2 linked regions of the Arabidopsis thaliana genome follow. The protein of the gene in region 1 interacts with the protein of each later gene in a pairwise test. Each region holds a gene or a part of one and is shown on either strand. Other genes may lie near its edges.

Region 1 (3,947 bases):
TGTTTTGATTGGTTGGACAAATCATAGAGATCAAGCAACTTTTTGACTCGTTAACCTCTCTCTCTCTCTCTCTCTTAGTCTCTTTCCTTAGTTCCGTCAAATTCAAGTCAAAATGAGTAAAATGATATAAACTTTTTGACTCGTTGAACAATTTATACTTATCTTTGAAAAAGCTTGCAAGGCAAAGAGTAAATGCAATACCAGCTTATTTGGTTCCCAACTGCGAAGGGTTTGTACCTAGTTCAAAACCTTCCCACAGTTAACGGCACACTCAGGGCAATAACATGAATGTAAGTAAGAGTTAAAGAATACAACGTTACCATCATTGTGAAATCCATTGCAGCTCAAAGCCACTGAATCAGAACATGCAGCGAAGTGTTTTACACTCGACTCTAAACGAAAGTCTTTAACTCATTCAGAGAGATCGAACGAAAGAGAACAATCTTTGGAGATGCAATAGAAGAATACTGAGCAAAAGAGAGCTATAAATCTTCATTCTACAAATATGTGATGGAAGACAAGTATACATTACCATTGTTGTACTATCTGAAAAAAGCCGGTTTCTTGATATTCAAAAGCAACAAAACTCAGAACAAGTAAAAACAAGCCTCTCTGCAACTTAAAGACTCCAAACAAAAAAATCTCTGGCTGTGTGTATTCAACAAACTCCACCTGCAAGTTCAAACAACAACTGCCAAAAAATTGTCACAAACACTCGGAAAAAAAGGTTTGAAGATTCCACTCTCTTGTATCATCATCCTCAAATTGAACTCACCTTGTGTTTTTGCAGAGGTTTCAATAAGTATAGATTATCACTCTCACTCAGTATATAACCTTTTCTTTTTCTTCTCCATGGTGGTACAAATTACAACAATATTATCACAAAACAAAAGCCAAAAGCTTTTTCAAATCCAGAAGATACAAAAAAAAACCCAATCCTTTTAACGACCTGAGCCTTGAGAATCATCTTTCTCACCACTCTCTTGCTGATGTTCTTCATGGTTATGATGCATATGGTGAAGAACCCTACCTTGAGCTTGAGCCTGAGCCTGACCCATCTGTTGATAAATCTGAGTAAAAGACTGAGGATTCAAAACACCAACATTCCCTTCTTGAGACAAGCCTAACTCAAGTCCAGGCATCTGATTATGATTCCCACCCAAAATAGATGCAAAACTCATATGACCAACACCAGGAAAATCAAAACCAGGAAACCCAATTCTATAACCAGCTCCTTCACTCATTAAACCAGTGGTTGGCACACCAGAACCAAACCCAGCTACATTTGGCCATAACCCAGTTGGTAAACTTGACCTAGAAACTCCTTCACCGCCACCAATCCCCCAATTTAATGGTCTACCACTACTACTAGACCCACCATCTAAGTCATGACTGATCATTAAACCAGCAGTAAGAGACCCACCTTGATGATGGTTAGAGGTTGCAGCTGAAGAAGCTAAAGCAGAGGCCGGTATAGTTCCTGAACCAGTAGCTGCAATAATCGATGGCTCAGCTTGTTGAAGCAGCCACTGGATAGTTTCACCATCAGATTTATGACCCAATTCTCTAGTCAATTGAAAAATCCTAGCAGCACAAAGAGCAGGCATCCGAATTCGTCGACCTCTACCTTCGACTTTAGTGTGTCTGTCTTTGTTAGAGCTTCTCTTAGGACCAAGCTGGTTCTGATTCTGACTCTTCTTGTTTGGTTCTTTGTCGGAAGCAGAGACCACGATCTGGAAATCTTTAATCTCAGTTGTTGGTTTGCGATTCTCGTCGGAAACAACAGCAGAAGCAGCATCATCATCTACCAAACCCTGATTTCGCGGTGGTGGTGGTGGGTTCAAGAAATTTGGTACTTGGTGACGATTTAGGTTCTTGGGATCCATCGAAGCTTGCTTGTGTGGGGACTTCAGGGTCCAGAGACTTAATTTAATCAAAAATTCTCTTGGATTCAATTAAGGGTTTCAGAATTGTGACGACTTTGTAAAACAAAAGGTATCGAGTTTTTTTTTTTTTCTTTGGGAATTTACGAATTTAATGTTTAAAAAAAAACCCAGTAAGATCCCGATGTAGAATTTGAGGAGAATAAAGAAAAAATGTTTCTTTTGATCTCGAAATTGGTCAAAAAAGAAATGAGAAAACACTTTAAAAGTATGAGACTTTAGTTTTGTCTTTTTCTTTTTTATTCTTGTTTACTTTTTGGTTTGGTACTTTAAATAACAGAGAGAGATAGCGAGTGAGTGAGTCTCATAGGTTTCTCACCAAACAATGCAATTTTTAAGACCATAAACAGCAAAGTAACAAAACGACACATAAAAGAAAAAGTAGTGTGACCGTTTCACTTTCACATTTAATCCAAAGGTAATTGAGAGTCTAACAACTGCCACTTCATTTCCCACTAGATACACAGTGACGGATCTAAAATCTATTTTTACATGGGGCATAATTATATGTGGAAATCAGGTTTCAAGTTAGATTTACCTGAATTTTATGGTACTTTACAAACAGAAGAGTTCCTAGATTGGATTAGCACGACGGAAGAGTTGTTAACATTCAAAAATGTCCCTCATGAGATGAGAGTTCCTCTTGCTGCAACACATTTTAAAGATCGTGCTTTAGCCTGATGGTAACAATCCAATAACAGTTGATATATTCAAAAAAATCTCAATAATTACTTTTTAAAGTTTGTAAATTATTATTATTAAATAATTACAATGTGTAGAAAATTAATCCCTTTAGAACATAATTTTTTTTCAGAAAATCAATATTTTAGAAAAAGAGTAAGTACTATTGAATACATTGTTGCTTCGTATATATCTCTCATTCTGTCCTAAACGAAAAAAAAAAAAAAAACTACAACAGTAGTCAAAGTCAACGTCTTCCCTAAGAAGGAAGTACTTTTAGCTAGTCCATCAAGTGGACCAATGACATGTTGACAATTAGCCGGTCCACACAGGGTTTGGTTCGCTTGTAGGGCAAGATCTAAAGGTATTGAATGAGTTTGAGAGTTTCATCATTTATGGACCGACAACATTATACCATCTCTCTTTTTTTTTTACTCATTTCATCATAACTACTCATAAGTCTTAGACTTCAATTAATCTTAATGAGTTAACTACTCTCTAGCTTTACTTAAAGGCATTAGTCTTATATTAATGACGCCCATAATCACGTTTAAATATCATACACTAACACATGTCCAGTCGTCGTCGATTGATTTCCTGCTTTAGTAATTGTGTGTCAACATTTACAGTTCATTTGTTCAAAAGAAATAAAAAAAAGTTTATAGAATTATAATAGTTAAAACATTCAGTTTTTGCAACTTTGCAAAAATAAAAGAATAAAAAACAAAGTAACAATATTGAAGACATCACATAAGTGTGATCATCTAATTCAAAGTTGCATTATACGTTTCAAAAATGATTTACTTGTCATCGTGAAGAGATTGTGTTGCGGATCTCACAATCAATGAACTTGAAAGTGGTGAGGTGAGGTAGAGTCGTAGAGACATTTAGTTTTGAAGGATATTGTTCATTCGCGATCTAAATGTGATAAAGTGTAGCTTGAGCTACCAACTTCCTTAATAGAGACGTCGTTAAAAAAGTTAGTTTGCTTCCAAAACTCAAAACTGTCCTTCCATTTGCTTTCATCTCTTGGTTGGCAATCAAGGATAGACTCTCAATGGAAACTAGAACGCGTCAATAGGGTTGTGTTCAGTCAAGCAGAAAAGCTGCGTGACCACCTATTTTTTGCTTGCCCATATTTGTTTATGGTTTGGTTAAATATTGTGGACGATCTTCTGCAAACATTTTGTAAAACTTGAATACAATCAATGCATTTAATTTTCAATTTCAAAATCACAGTATTCTATTTGTTTAATTATATAGAAATGATGTTTTCATCTAACAAAATGAATAAAATGGACACACATTGTTACAAGATAATCT
Region 2 (6,997 bases), on another chromosome or scaffold:
TCAGCGTCACTATTTCATATGAAAGTCCTCATGGTGGGTTTTTATAGGTGGATAAGACTTTCATGTTTTCTAAATAAATTTTATTTTGTAAATATATAGAGTTACCAAAATATATGATTTGACAGCTTATTAGTTTTTACGGTTTGTTTTTCGTTGTTTGATTAGGTGATTCGTTGTTCACTTACGTGACTAATATGATTGTTTATTGATAAGATTTGGAGATGACTCGAGCTCATATAAACTAAGCCATTGATGTCGAAAAACTGTTTAAAAAATTTAGTCGCTAATGTATACTCACGCGGCTGTATTGTCCCGTACGCGGCCACTTTTATTTTGTATTGAAGTACTAACTTACGTTTTAAAAATTAGACTGAAACTCAAACTAAAATCTGTTTTGTCCCGTACGCGGCCATTTTTATTTTGTATTAATGTTCTAAATTACATTTTAAAAATTAGACTCAAACTCCAACTAAAATCTCCAGCCAGCATATATATATAGAATGTTGCTTAGTCAATAGTAACAAAATAATTGCAAATGTAAAGGCTGCTTCCAAGAAAAAAAAGGCAGTCCTATATCTTTTAACTTGATATCTTACAAAGTTATAAAATGGATTACTCACATCATAGTCTTTGAAAAACTAAAATTATTATGAAAAGGTACATATTAACACACCCAAAAATAAAAAAAAATAAACGTTCTTGAGTTGGCAACCCCTAAAAGTGGATGGCAATTCAGAAATGGGCTTTTAATGTTTAGATTCCATAAAAAGTGAATAGATGGTTCTTATTCTGTGTATGTGAGATATCAATATCATCGTGACAAAGACTATGTGACAATTACCATACAATTTATCATGGAGGCAAAGCATTACAATTATAATGCTACCAAAAATATTTTGAAGTTAAAACAAAAAAAACTTATTAAAGTTAATTAAAAGCAAGATTTTCGACAGAGACTAAACAGAGTCGATTGAAGCTAAAAGCACGACAAGTTTTGAGAGGATGATTGAGATTTGTAACTCACCCGACAAGAAATTACCCGAAAAGGACAAACCAATTCAATGAACCTTCGTCGAAATCATTCACTTGACCCTTTATATAGTATAGTTTATATTAACACATAAGAACTTGGATAATTTTAGTTTCCTTTAACGCATGACATTTCTATATTAAATAAAAACTATTGTTGTTTTTTGTTCTCCTGCTTAACTTAAAATGACAGCTATTAAATTATCAGGATATTTTTGGAAACCGATGTAAACCGAAAAAAGGTTATTATAAGACTTTCTTTCCTTCTTTCTTATTTGCTTAAAAGATATATAGTTCAATTTTTTGTTTTCTTGCTTAAAGAAAAGATAGTTCAATAAAATTGTATCTATATAAAAGGGATTGCTAAATAGACATACACCGTATTTATCGGACGAGACCAAGAAGTTCAGGTTATTGCAAACTTTGCCTTTTTGACATAAACTTTAGAAAACAAATCTGAACCTGTCTTTTTCTCTGATTTTCATAATTTTTACTAATTAGGTTAGAGAGGAACAAACATGAATCCGAATTATATAGACAATCAATTTTTCATAATTAAGTATGTTGATATGATGATATCAATAGTGTTAATATTCTTACAAGATAAAGAAAGGAACAAAAATTCTTCGAAGAACGGACCGGATCGATCGTATACTCGTAGTGCTCTCTCTACAAGAAGTAATCATGTGGCATATGGATCACGCTTTATACTAGCAGTTAGATCTAAAACCCAATCGGGTGGGAAGATCGGAACCGTCCATTTGTCAACAAAGGAAGCTTTCTAAATTGGAGTTGACGTCAAAAGTCTCCCTATTTATGACGCCATAAATAGATTATTCGCGTGGATCAGACTTCGGACTTCTTTGGATATTGCCAGGTTGTTTCCTTTGTCGTTCTTCGAACTTTCTTTATTTTTTTTTATTTTTTTTTGGTTTTTGTGAGACTAAAGACTAAAACTATATAAATATCATCGCCGTATAAGATTATGTCAAAACATTACAAAACCTAGTTTTGATCTAAGCGCTCTCTCTCTAACTCTCCCTCTCTTTCTCTCACAACTCACCAGAACAATTCCATGGCAGGGAAGAGGTTATTTCAAGATCTTGATTCTGACCAAGAAAATAAGTCCGAGAAACGGATTAAATCTGTACTACCATCCCTTGCCTCGTAATTTTTCTCAGAAACTTTTCATTCTTTTTTTCTTGTATTGTGTTTATGATGAATCATTTCTACAAATCTTAAGTTTTGTTTGGAACATGTTCAGTGTTCAATCCTCTTTTTTTCTTACACATCTTATCCTTAAAATCTAAATATAAATATATGCTTGTATTTTATGTATATGTTCTATTCACTCTCTCTCTTATCCTTAAAATAATATCTCCTTTAGATCTTACTACTCTTGGATTTTATTTTCTATTCACCTTTTTCTGATAAATTTTTGTTATATTTTTTGTTTCTTGCAGGCCAATTTCCAGTGTGTTTGGAGCATTGATCTCAGAAAACACCCTTCGTTCTGTCCTAGAGCCCGTTATTAGAAAAGTTGTAAGTATACTATAATAATTCCACTTCTATTTTGTTATTTCTAAATACTTGTTCTAACTTCTAATTAATGTAGTGGATATATATATATATATATATATACATGGATATTTCAAATGAACGAGTTGAGAATTAGAATTTCATACTTACCATGTTTAATCAACTACACATACTTAAAGTAACAAGTGTAATTTAACATACAAATATACTAGTCTAGCATTGACGATGTCTAGTGTGCGAATTGGAACTTGATAAAATAAGAAAATTTCGATCATGTTGCTAATACTATATACATTTTAGGTAACAAACATATGCATGTACATGCATAGTTGCATTCTTATATCATATATATACACATACGTTATTAAGATAGTACTAAATATTTACAAAGTTATAAATCTTTTTAGTATTATTAATAAACAAGACCTCTCTAACCTAACATTTCAATCAACTATATCTAGAAATAAAAGACAAAATAATGGTCCACACACGTACACACACACATATATGCTAGTACCTTTTAAAAGATCTATATATTGGCCTACATATTTAATTTATTAGTATGTATTGTTTAATTTGTGTAATAAGGATATCAAATTATTTGTTAATATAAAACAGATAAGAGTGTTTTATAACTCTACTCGTTTTGGTAACGTGACCAGGTAAGACAAGAAGTGGAATATGGAATTAGTAAACGATTTCGATTATCTCGGTCATCGTCTTTCCGTATCGAAGCTCCGGAGGCGACTACTCCGACACTGAAGCTAATTTTCCGTAAGAACTTAATGACACCAATATTTACAGGGAGTAAAATCAGTGACGTGGACAACAATCCACTTGAGATTATCCTTGTTGATGACTCAAACAAGCCGGTGAATCTCAACCGTCCAATCAAACTAGACATCGTTGCTCTTCACGGAGATTTTCCTTCGGGTGATAAATGGACTAGTGATGAGTTTGAGAGTAACATCATCAAAGAAAGAGATGGGAAACGGCCGTTACTTGCCGGAGAAGTAAGTGTGACGGTGAGAAACGGCGTTGCAACAATCGGAGAAATTGTGTTCACAGACAATTCGAGTTGGATTCGTAGCCGTAAGTTTAGAATCGGTGCGAAAGTTGCGAAAGGGAGTAGCGGTCAAGGCGTTGTGGTTTGTGAAGCGATGACTGAAGCGATTGTTGTTAGAGATCATCGTGGAGAATGTAAGTTTATTTTTCTTTATTACTAAATATTTTACCTAATTAGAAATTAATGAATATATAACAAATAAATCTATGCATCATATATAATGAGTTTTGTGCATATATTCATTAAGCAGTACTCCACTAGGGGATGTGATAGTAACATATCACTAGTTTCAATTATCTTTGACCTGACCACATTTGGCATCTTCTTATGGATTACCCTACTATCAATCATACATAACCTTTAAGATAATCATTTATACAACACATGTGCATCAGAAATCCATTAAAATGATGTTTTGTTTTCGTCAAAATTTATTTGCATAATTTCGTTTTCAAATTTATTAACATATCAATCTATATTGATGCTTTTGGCTTTATCTTCTTAAAAAGAATCTTAGTTTTTCTAATTAAACACTAGTATAGAAATATAAAATTTTTTGGGTATTACAAAATTGTTGTATCTTGTCATGATATGTTTTGGGCTTTTGGCTACAAATATTAACTATACTTGCTTTAATTTGTCTTAATATATATACACATTCAATTTTTAATTCTTAATTAGAAAAAAACTACTAAAAGTATTTTCGATGTGGACCGTATGCAAACGACTATCCCACTTTATACAAGAGCCTATAAGTCTTTGGTCAATCAATGCTTATATCGTATTAATTAATACTCTGTATATTTTCCGAATCTTATAACAATCAACAAACACATGCATAAAGCGAATACATATAAAGAAGATACATAGTAGAAAACTAGATATAATTCTAAATAGTTTTGTTTTGTACAACTTGGGGTTGGTGAAGTGTACAAGAAACATCACCCACCAATGTTAGAAGACGAAGTGTGGCGGCTAGAGAAGATAGGCAAAGATGGGGCCTTTCACAAGAAGCTCTCCTCTCGCCACATCAACACTGTCCAAGACTTTTTGAAACTATCCGTCGTTGACGTCGACGAACTCCGTCAGGTTTAAATTCTTAGCTTATTTGACCCCTAAATTTTTATTATTATTAGAGAACTAATAGGAATAGGGGTTTGTTGATGTACAGATTCTGGGGCCTGGAATGTCTGATAGAAAGTGGGAAGTAACATTGAAACATGCTAGAGAGTGTATTTTGGGAAATAAGTTATACATTTCTAGAGGACCGAATTTTTTCATGATTTTGAATCCGATATGCGAAGTTATGAAAGCACTTATCGATGGTCATGTTCTCTCTAGTCAAGAATCCCTCAACCAGGTATTGAATGGTCATTTTCTCTCTATTAAAGAAGTTAAGCAATTATTGATAGCTCAATGATTGTTTATTAGTTAGAAACTGTATTTATTTTTTTAATTCATCTATGGTAATGTTTTGTTGCAGCCCTACGTTAAGAACTTAGTTCGAGATGCTTACTCAAAGGGGAACTTTTTAGAAGTGGGCGAACGAACAGCGAACGAGGCTGCTCTTTTGACACAAGGTATTACTTTAAAATAGTGTCAACATAAACACCATTTCAGTTTTTCTATAATTGCGAAACATCGTTGATTATATAGTATGTTACAACAATGTAATTTTGATTATATAGGTGATGATTTGGACCAACAATATGCTGCGAGCCACTACCAAAACATCGAAATCGATAAATCATATCAACAAAACGGATATGTTCAAGAGAGATCTACAAACAATTTGGAGATAGTAAACGAAGGGTATATAACGACTCCAGCGGAATTCAATATATGTTTCACCGGATCTTCGTCTCAAAATCATATAAACCCTTTCTAAATCCTCATCTACGTTAGTATTGGAAGACACGCCATAGTGCCTTGGCCGAGATTGGACTCTTTCTAAATAAGGGTTTAAACTTTAAACTACTACTACGTACATGATGGTAAAACATGTATTCTAGATCTGCTGATCATGATTGTACATAAAAGTGTGAAGTTTAGAGTTATATTTTTAGTTGGATGGTATACCACTTGTTCACGTTTTCACAGTTGTATGAAAACGTTGTTTTTACCATTCACGTTCAACAAATTTTTACGTTTTTACGTTTTAGAAAAATTGATTCCGCTGTATATGTACGTACTTGATGAAAGTATTGACTAAAAAAAGAAATCAAGAATATGAGGGTAACTTTGTGATTTACTTAAAGAAAGCCTCTCAAAAGGATTGAGTGGGGATGACTCAAATACTTATTACCAATTTGTCTCTGAAACTCTCTATTCAATTACCTTACCAACCCTAATTTACACATCAATAGCATAATGAAATTGAAACTTAGAAAACAAGCATGAATGATACTATTTGATTAGGCATCTTCTTAATCAACCGTAGTTGTTGTTGTAGCAGAATCCCTACGAAGCTCCTTGACGAGAGTAGCGAGAGCCTCAGGGTTAAGACCAATATCGCAAAGAGCTATAAGAACAGACAAAGTATGTCGATCAAGACCTGTCTCCAAGATGTTCGACATCCGAAACACCAGCTCCAGTGACTCTCTCGCTGTTTCAGCTGCTTCCTGATTCATAATACTCTGAAACCACCAAACATCATCCAGAACAAAAAAATATCAATTTCGGAAACGATTCAATTTACATATGAATATCTACTCTATTCTTGTACGGATCTCCATGGATGTACAGAGAATGGAAACCCTTAAAGTGGAAATCGGAGACTTGCCGACGGATCAAGAGATACATTAGATCGGAAAAAGGTTAAGGAACAAAACGAACCGATTAATCGACGGAGAAAACGAACGGCGTCGAGTTTGAGAGAGAAGAAGTGAGATCTTAGAGCTTGAGATAATTGAGAGAAACGATTCTCGATCTCGTGATCGAAGAAGAAGAGGCGAAAATGGGCCAACAATTAGAATTTAGAAATCTAGGGTTGTTTTTTTTAAGAAAATAAACCTTTGGCCGGTTCAGAGTATATTTACTGGTTCATATCAAATCGGTCGGTTAAATAAAATCCGCCGGTTTTAATACAATCGAAGTCTCTGAACTAGTTTTAATCAAGGGATTCTTTTTTGTCGGAATCAAGGGATTCAAGACCTTGTTATGATTAATTCGGCCAAAATTGACAAAATTGCATCCAAATTTAGAGACTTATTTTGTAGTGATATCCTTGAAATTGGAACTTTTAACTTTTAAGTAGCTTATGTTAGTCGAATTATCCGAAATTTCTTAAAAACATATCAATGTGAATATGTGATGATCAAGATTTATTCCTTGACGACAAACACATTAATGGAAAGCCAAACT

Evidence for each region. The genes of interacting proteins can lie anywhere in the genome.
Region 2: the proteins of TCP20 (region 1) and SARD1 interact in a protein complementation assay, tested with the Arabidopsis thaliana proteins (one study listed by BioGRID).

What each region holds. Positions count from the first base shown.
Region 1 is NC_003074.8:9,956,869-9,960,815, forward strand, and holds TCP20 (TEOSINTE BRANCHED 1, cycloidea, PCF (TCP)-domain family protein 20), read right to left. Parts: upstream 2,078-3,947; 5' UTR 1,887-2,077; coding exon 942-1,886; 3' UTR 776-941; intron 692-775; exon of another isoform or gene 673-691; 3' UTR 508-672; downstream 1-507. UniProt on the Arabidopsis thaliana protein: Transcription factor that binds to the site II motif (3'-TGGGCC/T-5') in the promoter of PCNA-2 and to 3'-GCCCG/A-5' elements in the promoters of cyclin CYCB1-1 and ribosomal protein genes.
Region 2 is NC_003070.9:27,744,286-27,751,282, reverse strand, and holds SARD1 (Calmodulin binding protein-like protein), read left to right. Parts: upstream 1-2,034; 5' UTR 2,035-2,104; coding exon 2,105-2,196; intron 2,197-2,492; coding exon 2,493-2,571; intron 2,572-3,230; coding exon 3,231-3,768; intron 3,769-4,562; coding exon 4,563-4,723; intron 4,724-4,805; coding exon 4,806-4,994; intron 4,995-5,117; coding exon 5,118-5,214; intron 5,215-5,322; coding exon 5,323-5,522; 3' UTR 5,523-6,060; coding exon of another isoform or gene 6,061-6,264; 3' UTR 6,265-6,493; downstream 6,494-6,997. Other genes in the region: GIP2 (mitotic-spindle organizing 1B-like protein (DUF3743)), read right to left, coding at 6,061-6,264. UniProt on the Arabidopsis thaliana protein: Transcription activator that binds DNA in a sequence-specific manner, 5'-GAAATTTTGG-3', to promote the expression of target genes. Recruited to the promoter of ICS1 and other defense-related genes (e.g. PR1 and SID2) in response to both biotic (e.g.